2 linked regions of the Oryctolagus cuniculus genome follow. The main gene of each other region encodes a partner of the protein of the gene in region 2 in a complex. Links are inferred from orthologs where the notes say so. Each region holds a gene or a part of one and is shown on either strand. Other genes may lie near its edges. The genes, in order: SHANK1 and ARHGEF7.

What was found.
Region 1: the proteins of ARHGEF7 (region 2) and SHANK1 are in contact, whole or in part, in a crystal structure (PDB 3L4F), measured with the Rattus norvegicus proteins. The link is inferred for Oryctolagus cuniculus from reciprocal best matches to the Homo sapiens genes ARHGEF7 and SHANK1. Residues at the interface, in XP_063131056.1 of Rattus norvegicus: Asp735, Ala737, Trp738, Asp739, Glu740, Thr741, Asn742, Leu743; in NP_113939.2 of Rattus norvegicus: Gly673, Phe674, Gly675, Phe676, Val677, Leu678, Arg679, Gly680, Ala681, Lys682, Phe696, Glu703, His735, Arg736, Val739, Ile742.

What each region holds. Positions count from the first base shown.
Region 1 is NC_091449.1:7,268,022-7,272,025, reverse strand, and holds the start of SHANK1 (SH3 and multiple ankyrin repeat domains protein 1), read right to left. Parts: upstream 2,801-4,004; 5' UTR 2,512-2,800; intron 1-2,511. Other genes in the region: CLEC11A (C-type lectin domain family 11 member A), read left to right, coding at 3,100-3,246, 3,436-3,640, 3,789-3,980. UniProt on the Homo sapiens protein: Seems to be an adapter protein in the postsynaptic density (PSD) of excitatory synapses that interconnects receptors of the postsynaptic membrane including NMDA-type and metabotropic glutamate receptors via complexes with GKAP/PSD-95 and Homer, respectively, and the actin-based cytoskeleton.
Region 2 is NC_091440.1:2,138,886-2,145,084, forward strand, and holds part of ARHGEF7 (rho guanine nucleotide exchange factor 7), read right to left. Parts: 5' UTR 5,089-6,199; coding exon 4,648-5,088; intron 3,713-4,647; exon of another isoform or gene 3,614-3,712; intron 3,573-3,613; exon of another isoform or gene 3,537-3,572; coding exon 3,450-3,536; intron 1-3,449. UniProt on the Homo sapiens protein: Acts as a RAC1 guanine nucleotide exchange factor (GEF) and can induce membrane ruffling. Functions in cell migration, attachment and cell spreading. Promotes targeting of RAC1 to focal adhesions. May function as a positive regulator of apoptosis.

The sequences.
Region 1 (4,004 bases), on a different chromosome or scaffold from region 2:
CACAACGGGGGTGGGGTGTGGGTGTGGGTGGAGGCTTGCCTTCCGGGCATCTCAGGCCCCGTGCCCAGGTGGGAGCGGCCACAGCTCCCCCCCCCCCCCGCAGCGGCTCCCCCTCTGGGACCGTCACCGCCCACTCCGCTGGAGCTGTGGCCCACGCACCCATTCTGAACCACCTTCCCCATTGCCGTCTTCCAGAGGGGAAACCGAGGCACGGAGCGGCTATGGAACTGGTGCAGGGCCGCCTGGCTCCAAAGAGATGGTGCTGAGGACCGGGGACAGGAACGCTGGCCCCAAAGTCCTCTGTGCGCACTGTTGGGCACCCCTGGCCACAGGGGATATGCACGTGTACTTGTGGCTGACGGTGTGCCCACAGCTCACCTGTGCCCGAGACACACCCCCGAGACAGGGCAGGTCCCCCGGGCAGTGGAGACCCAGGCTGCCACCTCCAGGGCCACGAGCTGGGCACAGGCTCCCGCAGGGCGCAGGTCTGGGTTCCCCTGCAGCTGCAGGCTCTCTGGGGCACCTCAGTGCCTGCCTGGGCTAGGAAGGCCCCATCTCGACGCACCCAGCAAGCCAGGTGGTGAGCAGCTGGGCTCCGGGCGGGAACAGCTGCCTGCATCGGCAGCGGCACAGCGGCAAGAGGTTCTGCACCCCCGGCTCCTGGCCAGGCTCTGCTCCAGGCGAGGCATCTCTCCAGGGCTGGCCCCTCGGTGGGGGGCCCACGGGCCCGCCCCGCAGCGCCTGCACCGCCCAAGGTCACACTGCCCTCCTGCGTCCAGGCTTTCTTGGAAAACGGAATGCTGGGTGCTTTGGGCTCCCGCGCCACTCCTGGGGCAGCCCCCAAGCCTCGGCTACCTGCCACCATGCTGGTGAGCTGTGGTGGGCTGTGTGGTCCCCTTCTTTGGAGAGCGGGCCCCTTGACCCCCGCCTAACGAGCCCCGGGCCCGTCGGACAGCCAGGGTGAGGCTGTGAGGCATGAGCCTGGCACTACAGTGCCACGGCCTCCTCCCCCTACCTGTACCACCTCTGTCCCTGCTGCAGCCAGCACCTAAGCCCAGGGGCCTTTGACCAAGCTGTTACCCTGCCACACAGCACCTACTGTGTGCCAACCAGGCCTTGATCTAGGCCTAGGGATACAGCCGTGCATAAGAGTTCCTGCCTGGGCCAGGGCCGTGGTGTAGTAGGGTAAACCTCGGCCTGCGGCGCCGGCATCCCGTATGGACACCAGTTCAAGTCCCCGCTGCTCCTCTTCCGATCCAGCTCCCTGCTACTGCTTGGGAAAGGCAGGAGAAGGTGGCCCAAATTCTTGGGCCCCTGCACCCACGTGGGAGACCTGGATGGAGCTCCAGGCTCCTGGCTTGGGCCTGGCCCTGCCCTAGCCATCTGGGGAGTGAACCAGTGGATGGAAGACCTCTCCCTCTCTCTCTAACTTTGCCTTTCAAATAAATTTACGAATCTTGGGGGGAAAAAAATAAAGACTTCCTGTCTTTGCTGGCGGCAGGAAGATGGTAATGGACAAGATGGTGCCAGTCTTGGCGATGGCAAAAATAAAACGGGGCATTTGAATCCGGTACCTCGTCAGGGCCGTGGGTGAAGCTGCAGCCAGTGAGGCCGGCTTCCACACTGCGAGGCACTGGCTGGAGTCCCGGCGGCTCTGCCTCCACCCCAGCTCCCTGCGAAGGTGCCTGGGAGGGCAGATGACACTGGCCAAATGCTTGGCCCCTGCCAGCCCTGTGGGAGAGCCGGACGGAGAGCCCGGCTCCTGGCAGCCCGGCCTTTGTGGCCATTTCGGGAGAGGATGGAACAGTCTCGTTGTCTCTCCTTCCCTCTGTCACTTTTCCTTTCAAATAAAATAAATCTTTAAAAATTAAATATATATATATATATATAGAGAGAGAGAGAGAGAGAGAGACTTGTGGAATGAAATCCTCTTAAACCAGGTGATTGGGGGGAGGGGTGGGGGAGAACTTTCTAGAAGGAATAAAAGGCTGGGGGCCAAGGCTTTGAGGTGGAGAACGGCAGAGAAGCCAGCACAGAGAGCCGGGGTGGGTGGGAGGGGACGAGGGGAGCTGCGTCCTGGCGTGAGGGGGCCCAGCCCCCCCGCCGCCTGGAGCAGTCTGGCTCCCCTCCTGCTTCTGATGGGAAGGTGGGGGCGCCGGGGAGTGGGGGGTGATGGGATCTGATTTATGGTTTGGAAGGATTGCTCCGGCTGCGGCAGGAGGGGCTCAGGCGCGAGGGGGGAGGGCAGGGAGGAGCCTGCTGCAGTGGTCCAGGCTGGGCCCGACGCCTGTCCAGCTCCCGGCGGCTCCCACCCCCACTGCCTCCCAGCCCCTCCCCCTGGCCCACTGCCGGCCCCTCTGCTTGCTCTGAGCGTCTGGGTCCCCAGCACGGCCCAGCCTGCAGAGGCCTCCAGCAAAGTGTGGCCAGCGACCCGCAGAGCCCCACCTTCCTGGGACACCCACACAGCCACACGCGTGCCCGTCACGTGCACCCGCAGAAACGCACACGCACCCGCTCTGGTCGTCGCCGAGGGCTTGGAGGGCAGGGGCCGGCCATCCCCGCAGTCTGAGACCAGTGCAGGAATGCGAGCATCAGGGGGTGTGGGCGCCGGTGGCCACAGGATAATAGCAACCTAGGGAGACCCTGTGGTCTCCCCCCACCCCAGGAATGGCTGGGAAGGGGGAAGGAGAGAGGGCCCAGCCCCTGGGTCCCCCCATTGCCCTGTGGGTGCCCAGGGGTTCCTGGGCCGAGGCTGGTCCTGAGGTCCCTCGGAGAACTGGCCACGGCCCTTCCTGCTCCCAGGCAGAGGGAAAGAGCAGGCGGAAGCGAGCTCTGGAGGGCGTGGGGGGAGACCCGAGGCGGGATCCAGGCTTTGGAACGTTGGAGGTTTCCGGCCACAGAGGCAGGGCCTCGTGGGAGCCAAGAGGGCGGGGAGAGACACACACAGAGGAGCGGAGACCAACAGACAGAGCCGGGAGTCTGGGAGTCGCGGGAGCCGGTCAGGAGACGCTGCAGAGGCGGGGGCCGGGGCACTCGGTGGTCCCCAGAGGCACCCCCACCCCGCTTCCCTGCGCCCTTGGGTGCTGAGAGCCCAGCCCGATGCAGGCGGCCTGGCTCTTTGGGGCCCTGGTGGTCCCCCAGCTCTTGGCCCTTGGCCAGGGGGCTCGGGGAGCTGAGAGGGAGTGGGAAGGAGGCTGGGGTGGGGCCCAGGAGGAGGAGCGACAGAGAGAGGCCCTGATGCTTAAGGTGAAGGTGGGGGGAGACGTAGGGTTGGGAAAAGGGCGGGGAGTGCTGGGGTCCGGGTGAGAGTCTGCAGGGGTGGGGTGGGGGTTCCTAGAAAGGACTCGGCTTCAGAGAGTGAACTGGGGGCTGGAGGGGGGAGGAGGGGGCAGCTGGGGAGGACGGGGTGGCCCTGAGCTCTCCTCCCTGCCCCAGCATTTGCAAGAGGCTCTGGGGTTGCCTGCTACCACGGGGGACGAGGATCCCCCCGGAATCCCTGCAGGCGAAGGGGTCTGGGGGCCTGAAGACGACCAGGTGGAGGACAAGGAAGAGGAGGCAACACTGGCTCCGGACCCCAGCCCCAGCCCCAGCCCCAGCCCCAGCCCCTCGCCCACCCCTGAGGACACGGTCACTTACATCTGTGAGTAACCAGCTCGGTGGCCCACCGCCCAGCCCCCGGCCTTGCCTCCCCAGAACCCAGGCCGCCGGACCTCCACTCTCCCAGGGGTCCCGGTCCCCCGCCCCCCACCCCAGGCCCCTCTCCAGCGGCGCGCCCTGTCCATCCACAGTGGGCCGCCTGGCCGGCCTGGACGCAGGCCTGCACCAGCTGCACGTCCGTCTGCACGCGCTGGACACCCGCGTGGTCGAGCTGACCCAGGGGCTGCGGCAGCTGCGGAAGGCGGCGGGCGACACCGACGAGGCCGTGCACGCCCTGCAGCAGGCGCAGGGTCGCGCCGAGCGCGAGCACGGCCGCCTGGAAGGTGGGTCCGCCCGCTCGTGTCGGG
Region 2 (6,199 bases):
CGCATCGGCCACAATCACCTGCCAGGTCACCACCGAGAACCCCGTCCCCCTGGAGAACGGCTGATTCCTTCTGGGTGGAGGACTGCACCAGGACACTGAGACATCTGGGAGACACGCACGAGGCTGGCTCCCCCTTCTAAGTACACACTGGACTAGGCGCCAGCATGGGAAGTCGACAAACTGAAGTACCTGAGCTTACAAGGTGGAAGCCCATCTCTTCTGTCCACCTTTCACAGTCTGGTTCAGAACTGAGTATTACGTGTTACTAAATACTGGGAATAAAACTAAATACTGACAGCAGCAGGCTTTTTTTCTTTTCAACAGAGCTAAGTCAACAATTTTGTTGCTAACACCCACCACACGACATGCTATCAATCTGGGGCAAAATGAATGAAGCTGGCACCCTGGCGGGCAAACAGGACAGGTGTGGGGGCTCTAGCCACACAGCCCGCTCCTGGGAGCCCAGCACTTCCTCTGCCGACAGCTCACCTGCGTCCGTGGTGTTCGGACGAGAACCCGCGCAGGCTGAAGGTCTGTGACCGTGTGAACGCAGGCACACAGCCACGCCGCGGCACGCAGGAACCAGCCAGGAGAACTCCCCCTGGTCTCTCTGCGGCGGCCTCATCTGCCGACCGCCTGCCATTTCTCCTTCAGTGAAACTCAACCTATCGGGATCCGTGTCCTTACTGTGGCCATTCTGTCCTAACCAGACAAAAAAAGACTCGCAAAGGGCACGTGCAGAGTAGAAGAAAACACTGCAGGAAGACAAAGGGGTCACAGGTCAGAGGCACACAACTGCCCAGTGTCTAACAGCTACAGCACAGTGCTCAGGCTACAAAACAGAGGCAAAGACCTTTTCTAGTCAGAGCTCATCTGGGGACAACACCTGATGTCCACAGCGAACCAGGTACATACGAATTAAAACAGCTAACAGAGGCAGCGGTCAAGTCACCCCTCAGGACGCCGACGTCCCCCACCAGAGCGCCTGGCTGAGTCCTGGCTCCCGACACTCACTCCAGGAGGCAGCTCAGGCATCACCTGCGTCCCCACCACCCACCTGGGAGAGCCCGGGTGAGTCCCAGCTCCTGGCTAGTCTGACCCAGACCCCGGTGTTCTGGGCATTTGGGGAACGAACCAGCAGATGGCAAATCTCTACCTATCTCCCTGCCTTTCAAACAAACACAAGTTCTAAAAAAGAACAGCTAATACAGTGACCATGAAGTCCAGGTCCTCTATTCCTAATATCCAGAAAACTGAAACCAGCATAAACATGAAAATACATGTAACAAAAACGGTTTGCTACAAACACAACAGTCTAAGGTAGCCCTGGACACGAGCACCGTGACATTTATGACGACAGGACAGAAACAAATGCCGAATCGAAGCTGTTTTAGCTTTCACGTCTGTAATTCCCAAACGTCTCCCATCTCCCCTCTCAGAATTTTGTGCAAGTGAAATGGAAAATCCTAGAACAACCTCCCAAGTCCCAGGTCTACACTGCTTCCTGCACCCTCGTGGGGGACCAGGTTCCCCTGGGCAGTGGCCTGGCCCTCACAGTGGGGGACAGGTTCCCCCAGGCAGTGGCCTGGTCCTCACAGTGGGGGACAGCTTCTCCCAGGCATGGCCTGGCCCTCACAGTGGGGGACCAGGTTCCCCGGGGCAGTGGTCTGGCCCTCACAGTGGGGACAGGTTCTCCCAGGCGTGGCCTGGCCCTCACAGTGGGGGACAGGTTCCCCCAGGCGTGGCCTGGCCCTCACAGTGGGGGACAGGTTCCCCCGGGCGTGGTCTGGCCCTCACAGTGGGGGACAGCTTCTCCCAGGCGTGGCCTGGCCCTCACAGTGGGGGACAGGTTCCCCCGGGCAGTGGCCTGGCCCTCACAGTGGGGGACAGCTTCTCCCAGGCGTGGCCTGGCCCTCACAGTGGGGGACAGGTTCCCCCGGGCGTGGTCTGGCCCTCACAGTGGGGGACAGCTTCTCCCAGGCGTGGCCTGGCCCTCACAGTGGGGGACAGGTTCTCCTGGGCGTGGCCTGGCCCTCACAGTGGGGGACAGGTTCCCCGGGGCAGTAGCCTGGCCCTCACAGTGGGGGACAGCTTCTCCCAGGCATGGCCTGGCCCTCACAGTGGGGGACAGGTTCCCCCAGGCGTAGTCTGGCCCTGACAGTGGGGGACAGCTTCTCCCAGGCGTGGCCTGGCCCTCACAGTGGGGGACAGCTTCTCCTGGGCGTGGCCTGGCCCTCACAGTGGGGGACAGGTTCTCCTGGGCGTGGCCTGGCCCTGACAGTGGGGACAGCTTCTCCCGGGCGTGGCCTGGTCCTCACACCCCAGCTCCCAAGGACACAGGGAGGAGCAGCAGCCTCCCCTCCCCCACACAGAATTCCCTCTCTCCAGGTCACTTCCAAAAAGTGACAGCCCGAGATTCTGAAGTACTGTTTCCCTGTCTTTTTCAATTTTCATTGCCTCTTAGGTAAGCACGAGTTTTCAGTGCGATTCACACGAAGCCTGAAAGACCAACGCTTGCGGCTACTGCAGTTTGAATTTACTGAGACAGAAACTTTGAAAACGGCACAAGGTCGGTCATGACCGACTTTTCTCTTTAGAGGGAACCTTCCACGACCACAAGTTCAAGCTCGCCCGTGGGTCGCAAACATTTCTCGCAGGCCCACTGCGTGCCAGGCTCCCTTCCAGGGGTCTCCAAGTGCACTGGAACCACAGAGCAGCCCGCAGGAAGCCCCCGGTAACCCGGGGAGAGCGGAGCAGGGGGCTCTAGCGCACACTGACGCTGCGGCAGGGCGCCAAAGCCGCCACGGGCGCGGGTTCGAGTCCCGGTTGCTCCTCTTCCAGTCCAGCCCTCTGCTGTGGCCCGGGAAGGCAATAGAGGATGGCCCAGGTGCTTGGGCCCTGCACCCGCGTGGGAGACCCGGAGGAAGCTCCTGGCTCCGCCCAGCGCTGGCCCTGGCGGCCACCTGGGGAGTGAACCAGCGCCGTAGAAATAACCAACCTGCAGACGCCGGCTGGGGACCGCGGCAACGCGAGCCCCGCACGGATCCAGGGGGCTGACAGCTGCGCCCGGCACGGCAGCTACCGGGAACTCGCGCCGGGACGCTGCCCACGCCTCCGGCCCCGCCCGCTCACGCAACAGCCCCGCCCGGGCCCCGCGTCCCCCCAGAAACCCACGGCGGCCGCCAGCGCTCCCGCCCACCGGGGCCCCTCCGAGAAGCCTTCCGACTCGCGCCGCGCCAACCCGCAGACGCCCGGCGTGAGGGCGCGGGGGCGCCGCGGGCCACGAGACCCCCGCGCACCCAGCCAGCCCCGCACGCCGCTGCCGCGCGGAGCCCCGGCAGCCGCCTCCCGCACGGCCGGGCGGGCCCGCGGCGGGCAGCAAGCCGCTCCCGCACGGCGGGGCCCGCGCCCCGCCGCCGCCCACGCCCACGCGCCGCCCGCCCGCTCACCTCCAGGCGCAGGGAGGCCCCGCAGCCGCGCAGGAACTCGCGGATGTTGCTCAGGCACTCGCTCTCGCTCCGCGGCTCCGGGAAGACCTGCAACACAGACACAGCGCTGAGGCCGCGCGGCCGCGGGCCCGTGCCCCGCCAGGCCCCGCCGCCGCCGCCCGCACCTCTCCGCTTCCTCCGCTGCACCAATCTCGGCCCCTGCCCGCACCAGGAAGACGGGGCGGGGCCGGAAGTGACGCGCTCAGGCCGCGCCCCCGCCAGCCCGCGCGCGCGGCCTCTTCCGGCCGGCGCGGGTCAGCGCCGCGCGGGCCCCGGTCGCGGCCCCCGGACCCGGGCCCCGGCCTCGGACCCCAGCCAAGCACCGCGGACGCCGGCCACCCGGACCCGGGCCCCGGCCTCGCCCCTCGGACGCCGGCCACCCGGACCCGGGCCCCGGCCTCGGCCCGCGGACGCAGGCCTCCCGGAGCCGGACCCCGGCCTCGCTCCGCGGACGCAGGCCACCCGGAGCCGGACCCCGGACCCCAGCCTCGCCCCTCGGACGCAGACCACCCGGAGCCGGACCCCGGACCCCGGCCTCGCCCCTCGGACGCGGGCCTCCCGGAGCCGGACCCCGGCCTCGCCCCGCGGACGCAGGCCTCCCGGACCCGGACCCCAGCCTTGCCCCGCGGACGCAGGCCGCCCGAACCCCGGAGCCGGACCCCAGCCTCGCCCCGCAGACGCAGGCCGCCCGGACCCCGGACCCGGACCCCAACCTCGCTCCTCGGACACCGGCCACCTGGAGCCGGACCCCGGCCTCGCCCCGCGGACGCAGGCCACCCGGACTCCGGACCCCAGCCTCGCCCCTCAGACGCAGGCCACCCGGACCCCGGACCCGGACCCCAGCCTCGCCCCTCGGACGCAGGCCGCCTGAACCCCGGACCCCAGACCCCAGCCTCGCCCCTCGGACGCAGGCCACCCGGACCCCGGACCCCAGACCCCAGCCTCGCCCCTCGGACGCAGGCCGCCCGAACCCCGGACCCCAGACCCCAGCCTCGCCCCGTGGACGCCGGCCACCTGGAGCCGGACCCCAGCCATACACAGCGGACACAGGCCGCCCGGAGCAAGCAGCCGCCTCCTCTCGGCGGGTGGTCGTGGGCCCCGCAGACAGCCCCGCACGTGCGGCCACCGCCTCCGCCCCGAGCCTGGACCTGGGCCTCACCGAAGCGGACACCGCCCGGCCTGGGGGGACCCTGAGAGCTGGGCCTGGGCTACTTGGGCATCGCCCGAAGGGCTGGGCCCGGACCCGCGGCGCCGAGGGCGAGTGTGGGGGTCCTCCGAACGCCGAGGCTCTGCGGGACAAGCCCCGTGAGCTCCGCACGCCGGGACCGAAGCGGGTGGTCGTCGTCTTCCCCGGCACCGGCCCTGTGCCCCCCGAACGGTCAGACAGCCGGCTGCGGCCCGAGCGTGCGTGCGGGGCTGCACGCGTGAGCCGAGGAAGCGGGGCCCACCCGAGGAGAAGCCCGAGAGATCGGGGCTGCGGGCCGCGTGCCCGGCCACGAAGAAAGTTCCCGGGCTGTGGCACCGGGAGCCGAGATTGCGCCAGGCCTCTCGGGAACACTGCGGGTCCCTCTCCAGCCGCGCGGGTCGCGGAGAATCCCATACCGAAGCCCGGTGTTCGGGACGCCGGGCTGTCTCGGATTGGAGCCCCCCCCCCCCGCCCCCCAGTGGAACAGTCGTCAGGACACAGTGCCGCGGGTCTCCTGCAAACAGCCGGTGTCTGGTCAGGGGATGAGCTGCTCCTGGCCCGTTTTGCTCCTCTCAGAAGTTGTGTGCCATACGCGTAGCTCAAACCCGAACTCCTTCACCGTGGTTTTGCGGTTGCAAAGTTAATTTCTGACATTCTCATAATGACACTTTAAAATAAAAATTACATCTTTTTTTTAAATACACCCAATGGAATTAAAATACAGGTAATAGCCTGCAACTAAAAATTCTATAAACAAGCTCTTCTGTAAAAGTCAGTCTCTAACTCCTTTTCATTGCACTTCCCCCACAGAACCACATCCTAATGTAATCTGTTCTCGTGCTTGATGTCATTTTGCAAGGGACCCAACAAAGGCCGTCACCATCCACACTGGCTGTGACCTCCCCTGGCTGCTCACGTGCACGTGGCCAGCTGGCCGGGGCAAGGCCATGCTGTTTCCTCGTTCTGCCTCTGTGAACACCTGTCCTCTCCTCGGCCTATCTAGTGCCTTGTTCTTCACGTCTGGACCTTCTGTTGATGACCTGCTGTGTCATGGCCCCCGAGCGTAGTGCTGAAGTGCTGTCTAGAGGCCCCAAACAAGGAAGTTGTGATGTGCCTCACAGGAAACACGTGTGTTAGATCAGTGCTGTTGGCCTGGAGTTCCACTGAACGAGTCAGCCATAGATACATCCAGAAAGAGGAGCAGATCCATCAACCTGTACGGGAGGCCGCTCCAGACGGTGCTGCGGTCCCATCTGCAGTGCGTGATGAAGCTACGGAGAAGGTGGGAAAACGACGGAATTCGTGGCTTTATGAGACGCTGACAGTTAAAGCACAGTAGACAGCGCTGTGGTGAGGCTGAAAGCCAGAGATGTGCAGTCCCACTGCTCAGGTCAAGAACACGCGAAGCCCCTCTCGGCTAGTCGGGGCTGGCACGCGTGTCAGATGTGGCACAGCATGAGCAATTCTGAGCTTGCAGACAAGGATGGTGCTGCAGACCAAGAGGCCGCAGAATCTTAAAAGTACC